Schizosaccharomyces pombe: one gene and its partner. The gene in region 1 interacts genetically with each later gene. Each region holds a gene or a part of one and is shown on either strand. Other genes may lie near its edges. The genes, in order: nap1 and alp31.

Region 1 (4,886 bases):
ACTTTCAGTGTTTTGAGTCCACCAAATTGCTGCAACAATATTATACAACTAAACGCATTCCATCAAATTGGACGCTGTTTTATTTAGGACCTTTGCATTATATACTAAAAACATTCTTAAGTTGCAAATGAATATAAAGAATTTTCAATATAAAAATTGCCAAAAATTTTCGACACCAGCAGGATTTGAACCTGCGCGCGGAGACCGCAACAGATTTCTAGTCTGTCCCTTTAACCACTCAGGCATAGTGTCTAAGTCGAAAATTATAAAAGCTATAATATATTTAAGGCAAGTATTAAAATTAAAATATTAGATGTTGTAAGAGATATGTCAAATATGCTTTAAATTTAGACTAAGATAAATTGTAGTATGCAATCCTCCATCCCAATTGTAATCATCTCCATTATTTGATGATTCTAACTTTAAAAAACAAAACTGGTATCTGTTAAACGCTAGACGAACTTACTATAACAACCGAACACTCTTTTACAATGCGCTCCGCATTTTTTTAGTTTCCTTCTTACTCCAAGAATTGCAAGCTTCTTTATGTCTAAAAAAACGAAAAAAAAACAAATCGTATTTTTGATAAACTTTGACACTCATTTCTTTCGAAATAGCCTTTTATGTAAACACATCGGGTTTAGTTATACCTTCCCAACTTCTTGGGTAGAGTAGACTAACTAGGATGCAACCCATTCATACTATGAATTCTCAATTGCTTACTTCTAAGTCAAAACAAAGCATTATTTTCTAGAAAAGCTCGTAAAAAGGGTTCTCTTTTTTAAGCTTTACTAAAGGTCAATTTTTACAGTCAGTGTTTTCAACTTGGTCTAAACTAACAATAAAAAACTATCACTAGTTCTTTTCGCAAGCATTTGATTGAAAAAAAAGGCAAGAAAATATTAAAACGTCCAAGTTTGTCCGAGCGTTTTCATCATGATTGATCAAATATAAGCATTCCAAAATCTTTAAAGGCTTTCGTACTCAAACTAGAAACTCGGAAAATTCGCCAAGAACGATCACACCTCCCATTATGTAGACGATGTCGTTTAGGTCTTTTAAAGCCATTCATCTCAAAACCACCAATTCCAGTAAAAAATAAAACACGTCGACTGTAAGCATTTTTATTTGATAAACGAAAAAAACTCGATAAATTGGAAGATATTTAAAAACTTTATAAACTTGCAGAATCTCGTCCGCAAGCACTCACATGTGGTCCGAACCTATCCTGTACAACAAAAGGTTTACAAATGTTGCATGAAAACCTCAAGAATCATACTTTTCAAGTATCTTTCCTTTAGTCAAAACACAGAAAACCCATTGTTATTAACCCCATAATATATGCACATTATCGAAATTGTTTATTGCTGACGGCACTCAGCAGCGTTTTGCTGGCCATGAGCAGTGTGCTTGCTATCACTGTCCTCCTCATCGGAATCGGAAACTTCTTCGTTAGAAGAGGATTCAACATCATCTTCATCCTCTTCAACATCTAAGTCGCTGAATCCGTCATAGTTTTCAAGAGCTAAAGCCTCACCAGTAAACCACTCAACGGCACGAGGAATGAGTTTCTCTTTGAAGTCCTCACCGATTTGATAGTCAAGTTCCAACAATTCATCCAATTCAGGGCTCTCCGATTCTTCGTCTTCCTCAGATGGAGGAGTTGGGGGATTAAAAAAGTTGAAGAAACTGTCACGAGGAACGGAAACCTTTACGACACGAGTTTGTTTAGTGTTTTTATTGCGTTGCTTTTTAGTAACGGTACGAACAGTCAAATCGGCATTTTCTTTCCAATCAACCTTATCGCCCTCAGCATGATCATACAAGAAAACGTTGGACGGGCCAGATTCCTCCATGTAATAATAAGTTTTGGTGAGAATCTTGTTAGTAAAGAATGGGTTTTCAGCAAATTCAAATTCTAATTTGAAACCAGGCTTTTCCATATAGGAAATGCGAATATCCACAAGGTGACTTAAAGCTCCTTCATCTTCGGGAGTAATCATTTCAGACAAAGACAAAACATTCTTCATAGCGGTCAACCAGAACTCAGGAATACCCTTAGTATCATCACCACCTTCTTGTTTCTTAGACTCAGAAGAAGTAGGTTCTTTCTTTTCGTTCTCATCGGCAGCTTCACCCTTCTTAATTTCCTCCTCGGTAGGTTCGTCAGCGCCACGAACAACCTCAGATCTTCTCTTAAAAATAGGTGCGTACTTCTTTGCATAAGCTTTTTCCAACTCAAACAGCTCTTTTTGGAATTGAGACTCCAAGTCGCTGTATCGCTTTTGCAAACCACGAAGTCCAGAAATCCTTCTTTGCACGGCTTCAGGCAATTCTGAAACTCCTTCTGAAGTGAGATGTAATAAAGAACCCAATTTTCCGTCGATAGCCTCTAAATTCTCATCTCCTTCGTCAATAGTATTTACTTGAGGAGCCTTCGCACCAAAGTTGGGAGCGCTCGTCCCCGATGGGGTGTTATGGGGAGTTGGGGCGGCAGACATTTTTCCGGCCCTTTTGTTATTAATATTAACGTTCTCTACCATATTAATTCTACTTGTTCCAGCAATCAATTATGCTTCAGACGCTTTCCGTACGTCCTTTTAATAACACTGGGAAGGGTAGTGGTAGAAGCTAAGTGTAAGAATATTTGCTGCACCCTGGGAATCTACCTACCCGCGGAACTTCCGAGCTCATCCTCGGGGTTTCCGACCTTAGTGAACAGTGCATCGTTGTGTTACGGACACTTTCTTTATTCCCGAAGGGGGTTTTTAAAAATAAAATTCGATGAATTTAGGCTCATAGTTAATATTATTTATATTTTTAAGACTAGTAAAGATCAGGAAGAGCTGAATTAACTGTAGAAGAAAGCCCTTTATATTCTAACAACATTTTGAAGCTAGAATCTTTTTGTCTCATTGAAATTATTCTATCATTAAATTAAACATCAGTCGAATAAGTATCGAAAATTGAGGTAAAAACTTTGCTGAACCAAAGGTTACTTTTTAAATGTTACTGGGTTAAATTTCGTTTTTGCCCAAGGCTACATTACGACGATTAATAGCCATGAACAACTCTTCCAAATTTTGAGACAACGACTTCTCAAGTGTTAAACGAGTTTGGGATTCATTCAAACGCTCAGCATTTCTTTTTTGCAATATACACAAAAAATCTGCTAATAAGTTAAGATTCCAATGATCTGGAATTTGCTCGCACACGTAGGAAAGCGTATAAGAAAAGGGTCGACGATACAATAGTTCTTTAATAAAATCACTACATCCATCTCCTGTTGATATACATTTTTCGAGCAAATTGCACCAACACTGAGGATAAACATCATCAATTTGAAGACAGTATGCTTCACCGCCCTTATAGTCATGAATATTCGTAACCAAAACGGATAAAGCTTTTTCATAATTCTTCTTCCTTTTGTAAAACGAGTGTTCAAGTTGAGGAAATAGATATAAATTGTCAACATGAATGTCGAACAAAATATCTTTTATTTTATCTATAGATTCTTCTTCAACATTTTCCATCAGATTAATAGAACACAAATAGTAAAATGAAAGATGAGTACTGAAATCACTCATGTCCCCCCAAAGTTGTTCCAAGTATTGGGCATACGTAGGTTTCTCCATGCAAGGAAGCTCCCTAAATGTTTCAATGGCAGTCTCAAGGCGATTTTTAAAATCGTTATGATCCAATAAACTGCCAAGCAACTTATTAACGCACAACTTTAAAAGTAGCGCTCGATGAGTGACGGAATTCGACTTTACAAGGTAATCAATCAAAACATCATCTTGAGAAGAATCCAAATGCTCTAACACGTCCTCTGCAGAAATGGATCCACTAACTGTTTTGTCAAGCAAAACGCGCGTACCCTCCGTTGCATCGTGTTTACAAAGCCATGTAGTAAATTCCCAGAATGTCGAAGGCTCAATATCATTAACCAAATATTCTCGTATTTTAATTAACCCATCGTTGAATCTCCGATCTTCATAATCCCCTGTTATTAATTTCTTCCAAGTTTGAAGAACACCATCGTGATCCCTTACAGTAGCCAATAACACGGAGAGTAAATAATACTCTTTCTTCTGTATCAACACATCTTTTATATCTTCAACACCAGTTAGACCAGACTCTAACAACTCCTTAGCATTTTTGGTACCGGCGGCTAAATCATCCATATTTAAATAAAGGAGTAATAACGAATGCTCTACAGCAAGCATCACGTCTCTTTGCGAAGATAAAAGATACTCAGATATGCTCGTGTTCTTTTTGTAATTTTTCAGATAACGCATCAACATGATGTATGCGTTTTCCTTAGTAATTTCAATCATTTGTCTCTGAGTGTATTGATCAGTATCACGAAACAATTCATTAGATTTTAAAACATTAGCAACAGTATCATCGACGGACAATATGCTTTTGCGAAAACTAATGACACCTTGAAAAGCAATATAGGAAAGCTCCGAATGATAGAGATCTGGATAGAGGGAGATAACTACGCGAGGATCAATTTTGGAAGTTTCAAGCAAAGAGAGAGAATTTTCATACTGTCCTTGCTTCCAATACTGTAATGCCGAGATTTGCTCCAAATAAGCAGATTGAAGATAAGCGACATCATTGGTTATTCCATACTTCTTCGGATTCCGCAATCGCTTACTCACTCGACGCAGAGGGGCTTCAATATCGCCTATGGTAATACTGAATTCTAGTTTGTTCATAAAATGAGCTTCAGCGCCAAACCCCCAAGATTTATTCGTAAGAAAAATAAATGAAGGCTTGCTAAAAGAAGCCCTTTCTATCGTATCAGAAGTTTTTGAGGTAGACGCAGTATTCACAGCAGAGAATTTACTAAATATTTGGCGATCACAAAAATGAACGCT
Region 2 (3,518 bases), on another chromosome or scaffold:
CTTTTTTCTCCATTTCATTGTCTACAATGCCTGATTGGGAAATACTAGCTTCTCTATTAATACTAAGACTCTCCGCCCAAACAGTTGATGTAGCGTCAAGGTCAAGTTTAGATGCTTCAACGACTTTTTGGTTTTTAGAATCGTAATCCTCTACAGGATTTAAATCATCTTCTTCAAGAAGGTGTGGATCTATTTTTGTATCAGCTCCCTCTTCGCCATCTACATCTTCCTTCAACGATGAAGATGCAGAAGGGTCAATATTTACTTCAGAGTTGCCGCCGTCAGATTTCTTCTCTTCTTCTAAACCCAACACAGGTGATTCCCTTGATAATATTGGCGGACTTGCCATAGGTATACAAATGGAACGTTTTATGCTCCCAATCTGTTTAATGTTCACGCGAAGTGTTTCTTTCTCTTTGCTCAGATGGTAAGTAACGTCAAACAATGAGCTGTACAATCTAACATAGTGATACGCTACATTACACTCACAATAAAAGTGCAAATAAATACTAGAGGACGACTGTCTATGCTGCTTGTTAGCAGGAACATTTGGTTGTTTTAAAATTGTTTGATTGTCCAGCTAAAATTTAAATCTCTAGTAGAATAAAGGGGAATACGTATGTTTTTTTATGTGAACAGTTTCACCTAACTGGCAAAATTAGAATAGATTGGCGAAATCTTAAAAAAGATTTAAGCATGACTTGGATAATCCTTAAGTAGTTGGGATTGTCTATTATTTTAATGGATTGGAATAAAAATCGAAGACACAGTACAGTTGAGTAGGATAGCATTGAAAGGGTGGGTAAAGAATGATGAACGTAGAACCTTTTCATGATCGTCTTTTGAAGGGTCAGTAATAAATTTTAGCAGGGATCTACAAAAGCTAGTAAATGTGTATTCAGTGGTACCCATTCGTGGGGAAATTCGTTTGCTCTTTTTCAATTACTTCTTTTGCTTTTTCTAAATATTCATTTGCTTGTTCAAGTTCAGGAGTTCCTTCGTATGCACTGTCAGAAGAAATGGATTCCAAGTCGTTCGTCGCATTACGAAGACGTACAAGAGCATCTGGCAACGCCTCAAGATGCTTCTTCAAAACAAATTTCTAGAGGTCCAGAATGTCAGTACTTTGATTATTTTTTATTTTAAAAAAGATACGCTAAAGCGGAAACCACCGAAAAGTATCTTCAGCTTGGTAGAAACATCTTCTAGCACAACACGTCCAACGTTTATATGGTTTCAACTAATGCAACATACCTGATGCTCAATTTCTGCAGAATCTTCCCCATTATCAATTTTACTTTGTACACGTTTCTCGGCCTCGTTAATATCGATATGAGCCAACTAAACAATTGTTGAGGTCAGAAAATTCCATCTACAAAATCGCGATCCAAAAAGGAAACTTACTTCTACATCTTTAATAATTCTTTTAACGACATTAGTTTTGATGACTAAGCTCCTAACAGTATTTGACATGGTAGAAAATAAAATGGACGCGATATGCAAAGGAATAATGTTAGGTTGGATGATTTTCCTTGACTGCAGTGTAGGTAACGTTGGAATACAAAGGAATGCTAATGTTAGCGTGTGGTGATAAGTTACGAGAAACGATTAAGAAAAGCTAGTTCTAGTTAAGTTTTCAATTTCTTTTAAAGCCCTTTCCTTAAATTCCTAAAAAAGGGTATTTGATTAAATGTTTGCATCAAGTATCAGACTAGTTATTGATCGACAAACGTTTCATTCCTATATTATGTATGAGATAAAATTGCTCAGTTATTTCTAAATTTACGATTCACCGATACTTGTACCAAAAATTTCATGCTTTTATGGATGCTCAATCATATGGGAGGTTGAGCTTTTCGGGATTCAGCTATATGAAAATTTTCTAGCGCGTAATTCATTATATTTAGACGTAATTGCTTTTACAAATATTTTCCAAAACAAAAATTTCTGATTCTCCGTACACACAGTTATCTCCCAACAACCGAAATTGTTAAAAGCACGATTTCATATAAGGATAGGTTGATTGCTAATCACTCGAACCACAGTCTGTTAATAATTAGTCAACTTTGCCTAGCCAAAAAAATTCAGCTTCTATCTTAATCCTTGGAAAACAAAAAATAAAAAAAGGACCTAATACCCTCTTTCAAAGTAGATCCTGTACAAGATATTTAGTCTACTCAAAAAGCCGGTACAACGATATTAATGTCAACAGACTTCGGTATAATGGGACCAGTCTTCAATGTGAGGATAATAGCTAAAATCCTTTACTCTATATAGGACTTTAAATGGATCCTTGAATATTATTCTGTTTTCTAAAATGATTGATCATATTCTACGCCACAGATGCATCAAAAATTCAAATCATCGCTTGGGAGATAAAAGAGTGAACGCTTTTTCATAATCGAACAGCAACCTTTCGAACCCTAGTAGTCATTAGTATTTTAATCCACTTTTTTTTTTGCAAAGCTATGAAAAACAAAGACTGCAACCTGGTATAAGCATTTTAAACATATCGTACTTTGCGTGATCTAACAAATTAATCTCTATCTTGTCAGTTCACAACTTTGGACAGATACAGATGATGAATTTCGACAATTAAACATTTGCAAACAAGTCAAAGCTCAACATACAAGCATTCACTGTTTAACGCTTTTTGAACTTTCTCATTTCCTGAAACGTTTGTTTACAAGCTGATATAAAAAAAGGGATTGAATTGAACGGCTCAGTTGATATAGATTAATTTAAAAAGTGAACTCCGTTTAGAAAGTATCGCATAAGTTAAAAAATGGTATTCAAACAAAGCTAACAAAAACGAAACAAATCGCATTTTCCCATGAAAAATACAAGGTTGTTCGGAAAACTGCATATTTGAACATGATGACAGCCAAGAAGAAAAATAGAAGGATTTATTAGAATTCCCTTAAACTTTTCATTATAGTCTTTTCGGTACGGTAACAACCATATATACAATCTATACATTTCTTCAGACCATTCAAATCTTAAAATGGAGCTCCCCTTCAATTGAAGAAACGGAAAATTTTTTCTTGTCAAATTTTTACAGACTACTAACCTACTAAACAGAACCTCATTAGTGGTAAAGTCCATTTTAATACTTCTTGCTTATTAATTCATTATTTTATTGCCGTAAAACATAAATTATCCTTTTATTTTCTTCTTCTTTTCTTCCCTTGTATAATACTCATTTTTCGCCAAGTCTCAAGTATTCCAGTGTTCGATTCCGACCATGGAAACGATCTCGGTCGGGTAAAATGAAGACTCTGGTAGTCTCCAGGCTATTGCATCTCGTTCAGATTTGGGTTGATCTTCTGGAACAATGCGGGCAACTGGTAGAACGTTAATGAGGGAACAGATGAAAAACTGGAAACCTAGATGCGTGACAGGAGAATCTGGTGTTCTTTTTTTTTGAATAAGTATATTTAATAGTTAACAATATCGAACATGGTTTTAGTTAAAAACCATGCAGAAACTACTGAACGCAATTAAGTTTAATAGTTCTT

The links.
Region 2: mutations in nap1 (region 1) and alp31 together harm fitness more than expected from each alone (negative genetic interaction), as found in Schizosaccharomyces pombe (2 studies listed by BioGRID).

The regions. Positions count from the first base shown.
Region 1 is NC_003421.2:473,029-477,914, forward strand, and holds nap1 (histone H2A-H2B chaperone Nap1), read right to left. Parts: upstream 2,634-4,886; 5' UTR 2,544-2,633; coding exon 1,362-2,543; 3' UTR 570-1,361; downstream 1-569. Other genes in the region: GTPase regulator Vps3, read right to left, coding at 3,018-4,886.
Region 2 is NC_003424.3:3,375,103-3,378,620, reverse strand, and holds alp31 (tubulin-specific chaperone cofactor A Alp31), read right to left. Parts: upstream 1,516-3,518; 5' UTR 1,474-1,515; coding exon 1,405-1,473; intron 1,342-1,404; coding exon 1,255-1,341; intron 1,103-1,254; coding exon 899-1,102; 3' UTR 721-898; coding exon of another isoform or gene 663-720; 3' UTR 618-662; coding exon of another isoform or gene 600-617; 3' UTR 553-599; downstream 1-552. Other genes in the region: SPOM_SPAC8E11.05C (uncharacterized protein), read right to left, coding at 1-349; SPOM_SPAC8E11.06 (uncharacterized protein), read left to right, coding at 527-552, 600-617, 663-720; SPOM_SPAC8E11.08C (uncharacterized protein), read right to left, coding at 2,803-3,105. UniProt on the Schizosaccharomyces pombe protein: Required for the maintenance of microtubule structures and cell polarity. Beta-tubulin-folding protein; may have a regulatory role in the tubulin-folding pathway.